3 linked regions of the Diceros bicornis minor genome follow. The protein of the gene in region 1 interacts with the protein of each later gene in a biochemical or structural test. Links are inferred from orthologs where the notes say so. Each region holds a gene or a part of one and is shown in the gene's direction. Other genes may lie near its edges. The genes, in order: SNAP25, STX3 and CPLX1.

What was found.
Region 2: the proteins of SNAP25 (region 1) and STX3 form a complex in vitro, tested with the Homo sapiens proteins (2 studies listed by BioGRID). The link is inferred for Diceros bicornis minor from reciprocal best matches to the Homo sapiens genes SNAP25 and STX3.
Region 3: the proteins of SNAP25 (region 1) and CPLX1 are reported together in a solved structure, tested with the Homo sapiens proteins (2 studies listed by BioGRID, with this or other methods). The link is inferred for Diceros bicornis minor from reciprocal best matches to the Homo sapiens genes SNAP25 and CPLX1.

The regions. Positions count from the first base shown.
Region 1 is NC_080758.1:37,757,089-37,760,834, forward strand, and holds the start of SNAP25 (synaptosomal-associated protein 25), read left to right. Parts: upstream 1-967; 5' UTR 968-1,070; intron 1,071-3,746.
Region 2 is NC_080770.1:13,471,065-13,474,810, reverse strand, and holds the start of STX3 (syntaxin-3), read left to right. Parts: upstream 1-1,187; 5' UTR 1,188-1,329; coding exon 1,330-1,359; intron 1,360-3,746. UniProt on the Homo sapiens protein: Potentially involved in docking of synaptic vesicles at presynaptic active zones. Apical receptor involved in membrane fusion of apical vesicles.
Region 3 is NC_080747.1:262,034-265,779, reverse strand, and holds the start of CPLX1 (complexin-1), read left to right. Parts: upstream 1-1,111; 5' UTR 1,112-1,193; intron 1,194-2,801; 5' UTR 2,802-2,876; coding exon 2,877-2,907; intron 2,908-3,746. UniProt on the Homo sapiens protein: Positively regulates a late step in exocytosis of various cytoplasmic vesicles, such as synaptic vesicles and other secretory vesicles.

The DNA.
Region 1 (3,746 bases):
GATCCTTGAACCCACAGCCGTCCACATTCCCCCCGGAAGTCTGGACGGTTTTATAAGGCGTGTATGCGCCTCTGTGGACTATTCCTAAGAAATGCAACATAAAACCGCAGGCTCCGATTGCAAATTCAACTGAAGACAGCGTCCTCTACTTTGCCCTCCGCAAACAACTCTCAAACTCCAAGCCTTAACTCCCGCAAACCCACGCTAGTTGGGTTAACCACCCTTCCCCCCCCTCCCTCCAACTCTGATATTTCTCAGCGATAATTGCTCTGACGTAGTTTAAAATAACGTGTACCAGTCTCTCTCTCCAACTGACCACGTTAATGCGAACTGCAAGCTCTCGATGCTCCTTTGATAAAATGAAGAAATCACTCATAAAAATAGCAACCCACGTAGCCTGGCCATATATGGAGTTGGTGAGGGCTGACAGGGATGCCCCTTCGGACCCTCTTCTTTAGAAAAAATAAATTGCAGCTGAAATCCACCCCCCGCCCGGGCCTTCCCCTCCCCTTCCATGACTCAACCAAAGACTCAACTTAGCAGGGGAAAAAATTTTACATATGTAATCGCATATATATCACACATACACATATAGACACACAGACATACACATACGCACACATATACAAACAAAACAAAGAATATCAGAAAATCAGTCGCGAGATAAATGTGTTTGCCCGAGACTGGGTGTTAAAACGGAGTCATAAGAATCGTCCCGTTTGGGTGTTTGTAAAAGACTAAAATACAAAGGTTTGCAGTAAAGTGCACAGGGAGCTGACTCAAGCGCTCCGCATCTCGCGGCTCTTCCCCTCCCACCCCAAGCCTCCAGCCTCCATCCTCCCTCCGCCCTCCCCCAACACACTTCCTCTCCGCCCCTCCAGGAGATGGCTATTAAAAGCTGCTGACGTCAAAAGGGACGGCCATCTTTGATGAGGGCAGAGCTCACGTTGCATTGAAGACGAAACCTCGGGGAGGTCAGGCGCTGTCTTTCCTTCCTTCCCTGCTCGGCGGCTCCTCCACACTTGCAACCTGCAGGGGCCGGGCGAACACCACCCTCGAGAGAAGCCAAGGTAAGGAGCCCCCTCCCCAGGTCGTGTTTCTGGCTCTGGCTCTGGATGGCTGCATACCCAGAGGGGACCACAGCTGGAGAGGCCAAGTGAGCTTGGGTAAATCCAAGTATTTGTGCACCCAGGGTGCGGTATTCCATGTGTGCGCGTCTAGCTAGACTCCCGCCTGGGGCTTTATAAAGTATTTTCGAGGTGAGCTGCTTGGGGAAGGGATGAATGGGGACACTGCAGATGGAGCGATGGCGAGGAAGCGCGAGGATACGTACCGAATAACTTACTCTTTTGAAACAGTAGTGGGACTCTCTCTCTCTTCCATTTTGCGATGCAGTTTTCAGAGATGTTTAGGCTGCTGGTTTTTTTTTTTTTTCCCTCTAGACCAAAACAAACAAACCCTGTCGTTCTGACCCTATTATTATGACTGTTGTCGTTAGGGCGCTATTATCCAGGGAAGAATTAGGGAGAAGGCAGGGTACGGGCGCTGGGGAGGCGAAAGAAGGGGGAGTTCCCGGCCCGGGCAAGGTGAGCTGCAGCAGCGACAGCAGCCTCCAAGCCCCACAGACTTGATTTATGCCGCCTGCTCCACGTCAACTGCAGGCTGGCGGGAGGCGGGCGGGTCGTGCTGGGTGGGAGGGCTCTGCGGAGGGCTGGCGGGGGTTGGCTCTCCTCGGGGACTGCGGAGGCCCACACTCAGCACCCTGGACAGCAATACCGAGGGACCGCGCTGCAGCCTGCGACCTTTCAGGACCTCGGACAGCGGTCTGGCCGCGCACCGCATCTACCTACGGCAGAGATGCCTGGCCAGGGCTAGATGTTCCAGGCTTGGAGGCCAAATTGCCTGAGACCCCGGTCTTACAGAGACCCCTAATAGACCAGGCATAGTAGGTTTAAAAAAAAGAAAGAAAAAATAAATCCTGCCCACAGGGACTCCTTTGCAAGCAATTACCTGCTCCCATCCTCAGCTCCTGCATAGCTTCAAAAAATAATAGTCTACTTGTGGAAATTTGTATTGCCCTATTCCCTCTTTCAGGTAGGAAGTAAACACACTAAAAAGAAAATATGCATTCATCCTCCGGTTGGATATCAAGGGTTTTGTTTGTTTTTGTTTTTAACACAAAGTAGATCTATCTACGGATCTTGAGTGGACGTGAATGAGGTATATATGAAGATGCCAGCATGACCTGTTTATAGGAGTGATATATCTCCATATATATATTTCTATTTGATAAATATATGGGGATAGTTGAACTAAGCAGAATCAACTTTAAGAATGAACCCCTCTTCTTCTTCGTTCTCCCCCATCCTTGTAGTTAGGCATGAACACAAGCATATCCACAAAAATACATCTCTGAGAAATGTGACAGGTCATATAGGGTATAGATTTAACCTATTTGGCCATGGTTTCAGAGTGAGTGGGAGTATTTCCTATGGACATTGGTTATCCCAGGCCGATAGTTTCTGATTTTGACAACATTAAGACTGGTTTTCCTCAGGAGAATCCAACTGTGTCCTTCAAGATAACGCAGGTGAAAGGACCATGGTGTTAGACTGAAACTGGACTCTGACCTAGAGATCTACTGCAATTTCTATTACGGCACTGCAGGATTTTGCTGAGGTGGTAATAAGTACTTTAACTATTTTCTACTCTGAGGCTTGGAGCCTCTGAGAGAAAAAAAAATTGTCACAGGGATATTTCCAGCTGTTTGATATAGATAAAATTGGCATAAAATGACCAGGAGTAAAATTGTACTGTTTGAGTAGTTGTTAAATAAGGGGAACAGTGTCATATGTAAGAATATACACAATGCTTTAAAGAAAGGCTATCATGATCCCCTGAAAAGCCTCAAAATAAAATCTTGGATTGTATTTAGTTAGTCATAACTCCAGTCATTTATATACTAGAGGTACTGAAATGCCTTGTCCACAGAGAGAAGTTACTCTCATTCCCAGCTATTTATTTCCTAGTGTTTTTCATTTTTATGGATAACCATACGTTTCCATATAAGAATATATTGATGTTATTGTATATGGGTGTAAAATTATTATTCAAGAGTATGTAACTGCATGGAAGAATTTTATAACTCTGCAATCCGCAGAAGAAATAAACAACTGTGTTGTAGTGATGGTAGGAGGGGCGAAAAGATGGGTAGGAGTCTTTAAAAATGCTTTGACTTCATGCTGCATGTCCAGACATGTCTCTGCGTAGTTGCGTCAAATGAAAAAGCCTAACGCTGCCGGAATTACGTGCTTGGACATTAGTAATTACCGCTGGGCTTGTTTGCTAGTGGAACACTGGGATGGGGGTGCGGAGGTAGAGGGCTGCAGTGAAGCAAAGGGCACATATCTGGGAGGAAGTGGCAACGTGCAGAATTATGGGGCCAATTCTAGAATAGGTTGCTGAGAAATTAAAACAAAACACAATTGAAGCATGAAGCTAACATTTAAATTGTTGACAAGCTTCAGGAAAAAATCAAGAGATTTCCTATTTTAAGTTTTAAATTTTAAAAATCCAGGGCAATACGGCGAGAAGAAGCAGGAACAGATGGACATAAGGATGTGCTAGGAAACATTCATGCAGACCCTCTAATGCTACCTGCTCGTTTGGTCTTTGGCATTTTATGCATTATCACCTTGGCAGTCAGAATACAAAATAATTTATAATCTTCATAACCTTTCCATGGT
Region 2 (3,746 bases), on another chromosome or scaffold:
CTTCCCGATCGCGTACAGACGGTGTCTTTATGGGAGGCAATGAAGTCAGCATGGAGCAGGCACTCAGATCGCAGAAGAGGGCAAAGTTCTGTTAGAATTATGAAAATATTTACAGTCCTGTGACCTGAATGCATAGAGCACCTTCTCTTCCTGACTTGAGAATTGACGGCCGCATATGTCTGCTGGATATGTCATTTGTTCCCAAGAAGGAAGGCAAACAAGGAAGAGGGAAGAGAGGGTAGGGGTGGGGAGAGGAGAGGGGATAAACAGGGAGGGGCAGTGCGAAGAACCCGCCCACCTTTTCAGAGGGTACACCCACCTGGGATCTTGACACCACGTAGGAAATGAGAATGGCTTACGCTTTCCAATACAAACATCTATCTCACAACGCTGCTCTATAGGTGACGAATCAGTCACCCCTCCTCTGTCACCCAGGCCTCACAGCAAACTGTGAATTGGGTGTTATCTCTGATTTATTGATATGGAAACGGAGTCCTCTAGAGAAACAGCGCCTTTCCCAAAGTTATACAAATTGCTATTGGCAGGTGTTCTGACTTCAACACTGAACTGCTCGCATTTCTCTGCGGAGTCCCGATTGCCAACATGATGAAATCCAAATGCTTCGTCCCAGCCCGTCCCGTCCCACCTCATCTCTGGTTATTTCCTCTAGGAACGTCCTCTTTCAGATCCAATATGCAGTCCCCCACACTGTTCAAACTCCGTGACTTGGAATGCCCTTCCTCCAGGCGGAATTAGTTGCTTTTTCTCCCACCTATTATAGCACAAAACACACCGTCTTAGAGTTCTTTGTTTAGCAACGAATGAGTCTGTTGAGGCTGGATCCGAGCACGGAGCCTGGCACAGGTAGTGAATTGCTGTCGAATAGAAAGGATGGAATTGAGGTCAAACAGACCCCCTCGCTCTTCCTCGGCCCTGCGGCGGCATCTACCAGTGCCGGACCCTCTCCGCGGATTTCTCTGGTCCCTCGAGGGACCCGGGCTAGGGGAGGTGGAGGGAGGGCCGCCGAGGGCGGCGGGGCGCGGGCCCTTTAAGGAGGAGCGCGGGGCGCGGCCCAGGTGAGGGGCGGGTCTGCGGGCGGATCAGCGCTGCGCGCCGGCGCCGGCCCGGGAGGCGGATTCGGAGCGCGCGGCGCCGGCGGGGCCGGAGGGGGCGGCGCGGCGGAGCTTCTCGCGGCCTGGGACGCTCCTCCTCGCCGGCGGCCGCCGCCCTCCTCTGCCTGCGCCTCCAGCTCGCTCGCCCTGGCCGGGCCCGGCTGCGTCTTCCGGCCGCTCACCTGGGACGCGCTCACCTGGGCGCCGGGGCAGCAGGATGAAGGACCGGCTGGAGCAGCTGAAAGCCGTGAGTCCGCCGCCCCCGGGGCCGGGTCCCGCCGGGGGTGCAGCTGCGCGGGAGAGGGGCTTCCCTACCTTCGCCAGATCGGCGCTGGAGCGGGGCCGAGCGCGAGGCCTGCCCTCCCCAAGCCCCAGCGGCATCCCGCGCGCGTTCCGCAGCCTCCCCTCCCCTCTGGGGTCGTGTGCCGGGTGATTCCTGGCTAGGCTGCGATTTCCCTGGATGACAGCGTCTGTCCAGAGCTGGGGTCCGCGCGGGGTGCTTGGGCCTAGCGGAGCTTTCTGTGGGGTCAGGGGTCACCTCAGCCCTTACCCACTGCAGCCTGGCACTGTGCCCAGGACCAGCCTTCTATCTCCTTCCTTGTCTCCCGAGCCGGCTGCCCTCTCCCCCGGAAAGCTCCTGGGTGACCTCCGGAGCTGTGAGCTGGTCACGTGCCAGGATGGTGCAGCTCCTCGCCATCCGGCAGTCTATAATTATTAATTTCTCCTGAATCCTCAGGACAGCTGGATAGGGCAAAGGATCTGAAGGTAGACCGCCTCCAGCCCTGCCGCACAAAAGCTGTAAATCCTTAGGCTGCTTATTCTTTTGAGCCTCTGTTTCCTTATCTGTCAAATGGGGATGATCATACCTTAGAGATTTGTTATGAGATCAAATGACATAATAACCCTCGATATAGAAAAGTGTCAAACGTGAGTTTTTGAGTTAGATATTCATTGACTCATTCAACAAATAATTATTGAGTGCTGTCTAGGGGGCAGGCCCTGTGCTAAGCCCTGGGGATTGGGTGACACAGGCTCTGTCTTAATGGAATGTAAAATCTAGCTCTTGATACAAAGTCTTCCATCTACTTGGGAGCTTGGTAGAAATGTAGAAGCTTAGACCCCAGTCTGGACCTACAGAATTAGAATCTGATTATTCACAAATCTCCCCAGTGATTCGTGAGCATTTTGGGAAGCAGGGGGCTGGATAGAACTGGGGTTGCCTCCTGGCTCCACTGCTAACTAGCTCTCCTTTAACCTCTGAGTCTAAGTTTTCTCATCTTTACAATGCGTGGTTGTGAGGACTAAAAGCAAGAGAGCGTGCAGAGCCCTTTGGATGGTGCATGACACATATAGGGCGAATAGATGGTAAATATTATGCTGAGAACTGTAAAAGCTCCTTGGAAAAATACAGGCCTCATATGAGTGTGAGGGACTCCTGGGATGATGTCGCAATTGTTTTTCTTTCTCCTCCCTCGTCTTGGGCGAGACCTTCATGACCCTTTCACCTGCTCTGGGTAGTAGGGCGATGGGGAAGTGAGAGAAGCAAAGGGACAGTTGCTGATTGTGGGGTGAGCCTCCCTGCCTCCTACATGTCATCTGAGCCTCACAACATCCCGGTTACGGGGCAGAATTTATGGCCCCTATTTTTCTAGATGAGGAAACCAGAGCTAAGCCTGGGTAGGCAGGATGCTGCGGGTCACAGAGCTGGTCAGGTCACAAGCAGGGGAGGAACCCAGACTCCTAACACTCTTCATGGTGCTCTTTCCCTGTAGCATGCTGGTTGGGGAGGCAGAAAGGAAAGAGGACCATGGCTTTTGAAGATCTTCCCTTATCAGCACACGCAGCAGTCATAAAACAATGCAAAACTGAACAGCAGGCAGAGGCGGCTCCCTTCCTTTAGTTAGGAAATCCATAGAGGAGGATACTCCACGGCCCCTTTCAAAAGCCCATTGTCAACAAACAGCAAAGAGTCTTCTCTGAGCTTTGGGTTCCAAGTATAAATTCAGGTTGCCAGGGAACCCAGGCAGTCCCTTTGCTTCTCCGAGCCTCATTCACCCGCTGTAAAACTGAGCTAATGCTCTGTTTCCTCCCTGCACCTCTTGGCGATGTGGTGAAAGTGAGACTATAGACGGTGCTGTTATTATGGGGGTGCTGTTCTCAAGTCATGGGTGCTGCTCTAGCGTTTTGGAGCAGGGAGATGGGTGTTGACACTGTGCAAAGAGGACTGGGCTGCAGGTTGAAAGGGTTCTAATTGTGGCTCTGCCACTTAATAGCTGTGTTGTTTTGTGTCACTTTACTTCTCTGCTTCTCTATTCCCCCTTTGCAAAACCAAGAGTTGGGTTGATCTCAGAAGCCCCTCCTGGCAATATTAAAATATTAATGTTTTCCAAGAAGACTGTTGTTAAGGTTTATATACATTTTGGTTTCTAGTTCACCTTCTGCCCCTTTCCTCTGGCCCCCAGGAGAGAGATCGCCCTCACTACAACAAGATTACTATCTTCTCTCTTTGATTCCTTTTATCAACGAAAGGCAAGGCGTTTGTTAACAAGGCTTTTGTTAACTCGCATCAAACTGATTTTACATTGAGCAGCCTGTGCAATCTCTTTCTGTGGGATCTTTCTAAACCCTGGGGGA
Region 3 (3,746 bases), on another chromosome or scaffold:
CTTCCTCCCCTTGAGGGCCCCTGTCAGGCCACTGCTGGGCACAGTCGGGCCTGGAGATGGTCAGCCAGGGGAGTTTGGAGTTCAAGCTGAGCGTCCTGGGGGGGCTGAAGGGAAAAGCCAGAGGAGCCTGAGCAGCGGGCTCCCCTGCGGGGCGAAGGTCACAGACAGCTCCAGGACCCGCCCGCCCCCGCCCCCCAGGCCCAGCGAGTCCTGACGACCCGGCGGAGAGGACAGTGACAAGTTAATGCAGCGGCCACCAAGGGTGTCCACCCGCCGACCAGAAGGCCGGCCCTAGGCCTCTGGGAGACCGGGACCCCTGCGAGCCCGGCCCCTTCCCGCAGCCCCGCCCCACACGCGCAGGGACAGCAAGGTGGAGGGGCTGCGGGATGGGAGGCCGGTGGCGACCTATCAGCTCCGGACGCAGAGGAAATCCCGGAGGCCCGGTGGAGGCAGGGCGGCTCAGTCCGCAGTCACCTTCACGCGTCCCTGCCCCGCGGGGGCCTGCCGGCCTCCAAGGGGCGGGGGTCTCTCGGCCCCAGTCCACTAAAATAAAGCTCGGCGACTCTATTACACTGGGAAATGCGTCCAGCCGGCCGCGGGTCTCTCTCTCTGCCAGGAGTGGCTGGGTTTTCCGGAGTCCGGGGTCTCCCTTCTCCCGCCCAGCGGGACGAGGAGGCCCCAGAGCGGCGGCGGTCGGGGCCAGTGTCACCGCCTGCGCCGGGGAACCCCTTCCCCGGGTGGAATGGGGAGGGGGCGGCCACCCCCAACCCCGGACCCTGCCCGCTCCGGCGACAGGAAGGGACTTTCCCGCGGGTCCCGCGCGCGCTCACGAGGCGCCCCGAGCGGGCAGGAGCGGGTGGGAAGCCGGACTCCGACTGGGAGCGGACCCGCCCGGGTCCACACGGGCAGCTCGGATGCGGGGCAGGGTCTGGGGTCTGCGCAGCTGGGCGGGCCGGAGAGCTCGGCCCCGGGATCCCCCGAACCGGGCCGGGACAGGTTCCGGAGCGCAGGGGAGCGCGGCCCCGCCCCTCCGCCCCTCCCGAGCCGCCGCGGCCCCGCCCTCCTCGTCACGCTCCGTGTGACGCGCCCTCCTCGCGGTGCCCTTCAGCCGCCGCCGCAGTTCCCGGCGCCACATGGACCCGGCCGGCCCGAGCGCGCTCCGCCGCTGACCCCAGCGCCCCGACCCGGAGAAGGTAACCTGCGCCCCCTCCCCTCCCCTCCCCCGACGCCCCCCCCCTCCTCCCGTGACGCCCCCTCCCCTCTCCGGACTCTCCCTCCCCAGACCCCTCCTCCCCTCCCCTCTCCTCCCCGGACGCCCCTTCCCCTCCTCTCCCCGGACGCCCCTCCTCCCCGGACGCCCCCTCCTCTCTCCCCGCCTCCCCTCCCCTCCCCTCCCTGCACACCCCCTCCCCTCCCCGGATGCTTCGTCCCCACACCCCTCCTGCCCTCCCCTCCCCTTCCCGGACGCCCCCTCCCCCCCTGGACACCCCCTCCCTTCCCGGGACCCTTCCTCCCCAGACCCCTCCTGCCCTCCTCTCCCCTTCCCGGACGCCCCTCCTCCCCGGACGCCCCCTCCCCTCCCCTCCCCGCGGGCGCGCTCTCGGCCGCGCGGGCGCTGTCCACCGCGCGGTGCTGAAGCGGCCCCGCGGTCCCGGCCCGCGCGCTCCCTCTCTTGCTCCTTCCCCGAGTCTCCGGCCTCTCGCGTCGCCCTTCCCTCCCTCGTCCGCGGTCTCTCCTCCTTCTCCCGGCGCGCCCCCGCCTGAGGGCCGCTTGGCAGAAAGGGGTGCGGCGGCTGCAGGAGCCCTGGGGAAGCTCCAGCTGCGCCCCGGGCCTCTCTGCGGCGGGCCCTGCGGTTCCCTCCCACCAGGAGCCAGGGGAGAAGTTTGGAAGAAATCTGCTTTGCGACAAAGGCGCCCGTGCGCGCCAGCGCCTTTTGGGGGGTGGGGTACGGCATTCCCTGCCTGCCACCCTTTCCCAGCCCGCACACACTCAGGTCTCCTGCGTCTGCGGAGGAAAAATTCATAAAGCACTGGATCTCCAAGAACCTGGGTTTCCCTGCCAGAGGAGACCTCACGAGGGGGGGCACTGCAGCTGCTGATTTTACAGGAAGCATCTCCCCACCGGAGTTCCAGCTGGCCTGGGGCGCCCCACCCATGCAGATGCAAGTGGAGGGGTGGTCTGTCCCCCTTTTCCATTTGCTCCCTGAAGGCCGGGCCCCCTGCCCTCTCTCCTTCCCACCCCAGTCTCTGCTGTGGGCAGGGGGTAGCGGGCGCTGGGACCTCCTGTGGAGAGAGCTTGGTCTCTCGAGACTACCCGATCAGTAGCCGAAGGGACCTCCCTGAAGGGGCACTGGCTCAGGGCCCATCCACCCTAACTCTCCTGTCCCTTGGATGGACCGCCCCCTCTGGCCTAGGGCCCATCAAAGAGGCAGCAGATCCAGTCACCTTCAAACGCCCCCTGGGCCTGGCCCTGCTTCACACAGGCTGCACCCCCCCCCAAGTTGCGAGCACCCCCATCCCTGCAGTAGCAGCCAAAAGCTGGCTTCAGAAACCCCAGGGGCTGGGTGAGACAACTTTGCAGGTCCAGCTGGGGTCCTGGGATCTGCCCACCCTGGTCAGAGTATAGTGTGGAAGCACCCCTGCACGGAGACCCTCCCAGTGCTGGGGTCCAGGCACAAGGTGTGGGGGACGACGAATGATGCTCTCTCAGACCCCTGACCCATGCTGAGGGGAAGTCGGGCGGGGACGAGTAAGAAGCCCTGCCCAGGGTCAGGGTGACCTGTGACCACTTCTTTCCTCCAGGCAGAAGACTCCTGGCCACACTCGCATGTGAATTCCGACCCTCGCAAGAACTGCTGAGGAGACAAAGCCGTCGTCATGGAGTTTGTGATGAAGCAGGCCCTGGGAGGTAGGAAGGAGGCGGTGTGGGGCATGTTGCTCCCACCTGGTCGCGGACCCGCACACTGCAGCGGCATGCGGACGTGGCACGTGGTCACCCTCAGACTTCACACACGCCTGCTCACATCACATCCCCGCAGACACACCTGCTCGCCCCTCTGGGCAGAGCAGGGCCTGGCCAGCCTTGGGGGTGGGGGAGGATCTGCGCTGAGCACTGTGGTCAGGGTGGAGCCCTGCAGCCGGTGCTGAGGCAGGGGTCAAAGGCCGAGCAGCAGCACCCCCACTCGGCCCGGGAAGACACCTCAGGGTGGCTTTCAGGGGCACCAAGGCCCATTCCTAACGGGCAGGTCCGGCGGCCCCCACTGGGGCTTTGCTTTAGTGAGCAGAGCTATGGGAGGCTGCAGGGTGGCTGCAGCAGCTGGAGTGGGGTTGTGGGGCCAGAGCTGGACCTGTGGTGTCCAGTCAGGACCCTGTGGGTTTCACCCAGGGTCGGGGCATGCACAGGGACAAGAGAAGAGGCTTGCGTGACACCGGCCCTTTCCACGGAGGAAGAGCGGCCTCTTGTGTGTGTGTTCGGGAAGGGGACCCCCCTTCCAACCCTGCTGACTCCTGTTTGAAGGGAATCCTGTGCCTACTTGGCTCAAGGCTGTCGTTGTGGCCAGAGAGCCTGGCCCAGGAGAGGAAGGGAGTGTAGCACAGTGGGCCGAGGCTCTGGCCCAGGAGGTGGGTGGGGCAGTGGGCCGAGGTCCACACTGGCACGAATGTGTCCTGACAGAGCAGTCTGGTCAGCCAGGCCCGTGGGGCCTATCCTGTGTACCCTGGCTCCCCTGGTGCAGCACCACCTCCCTG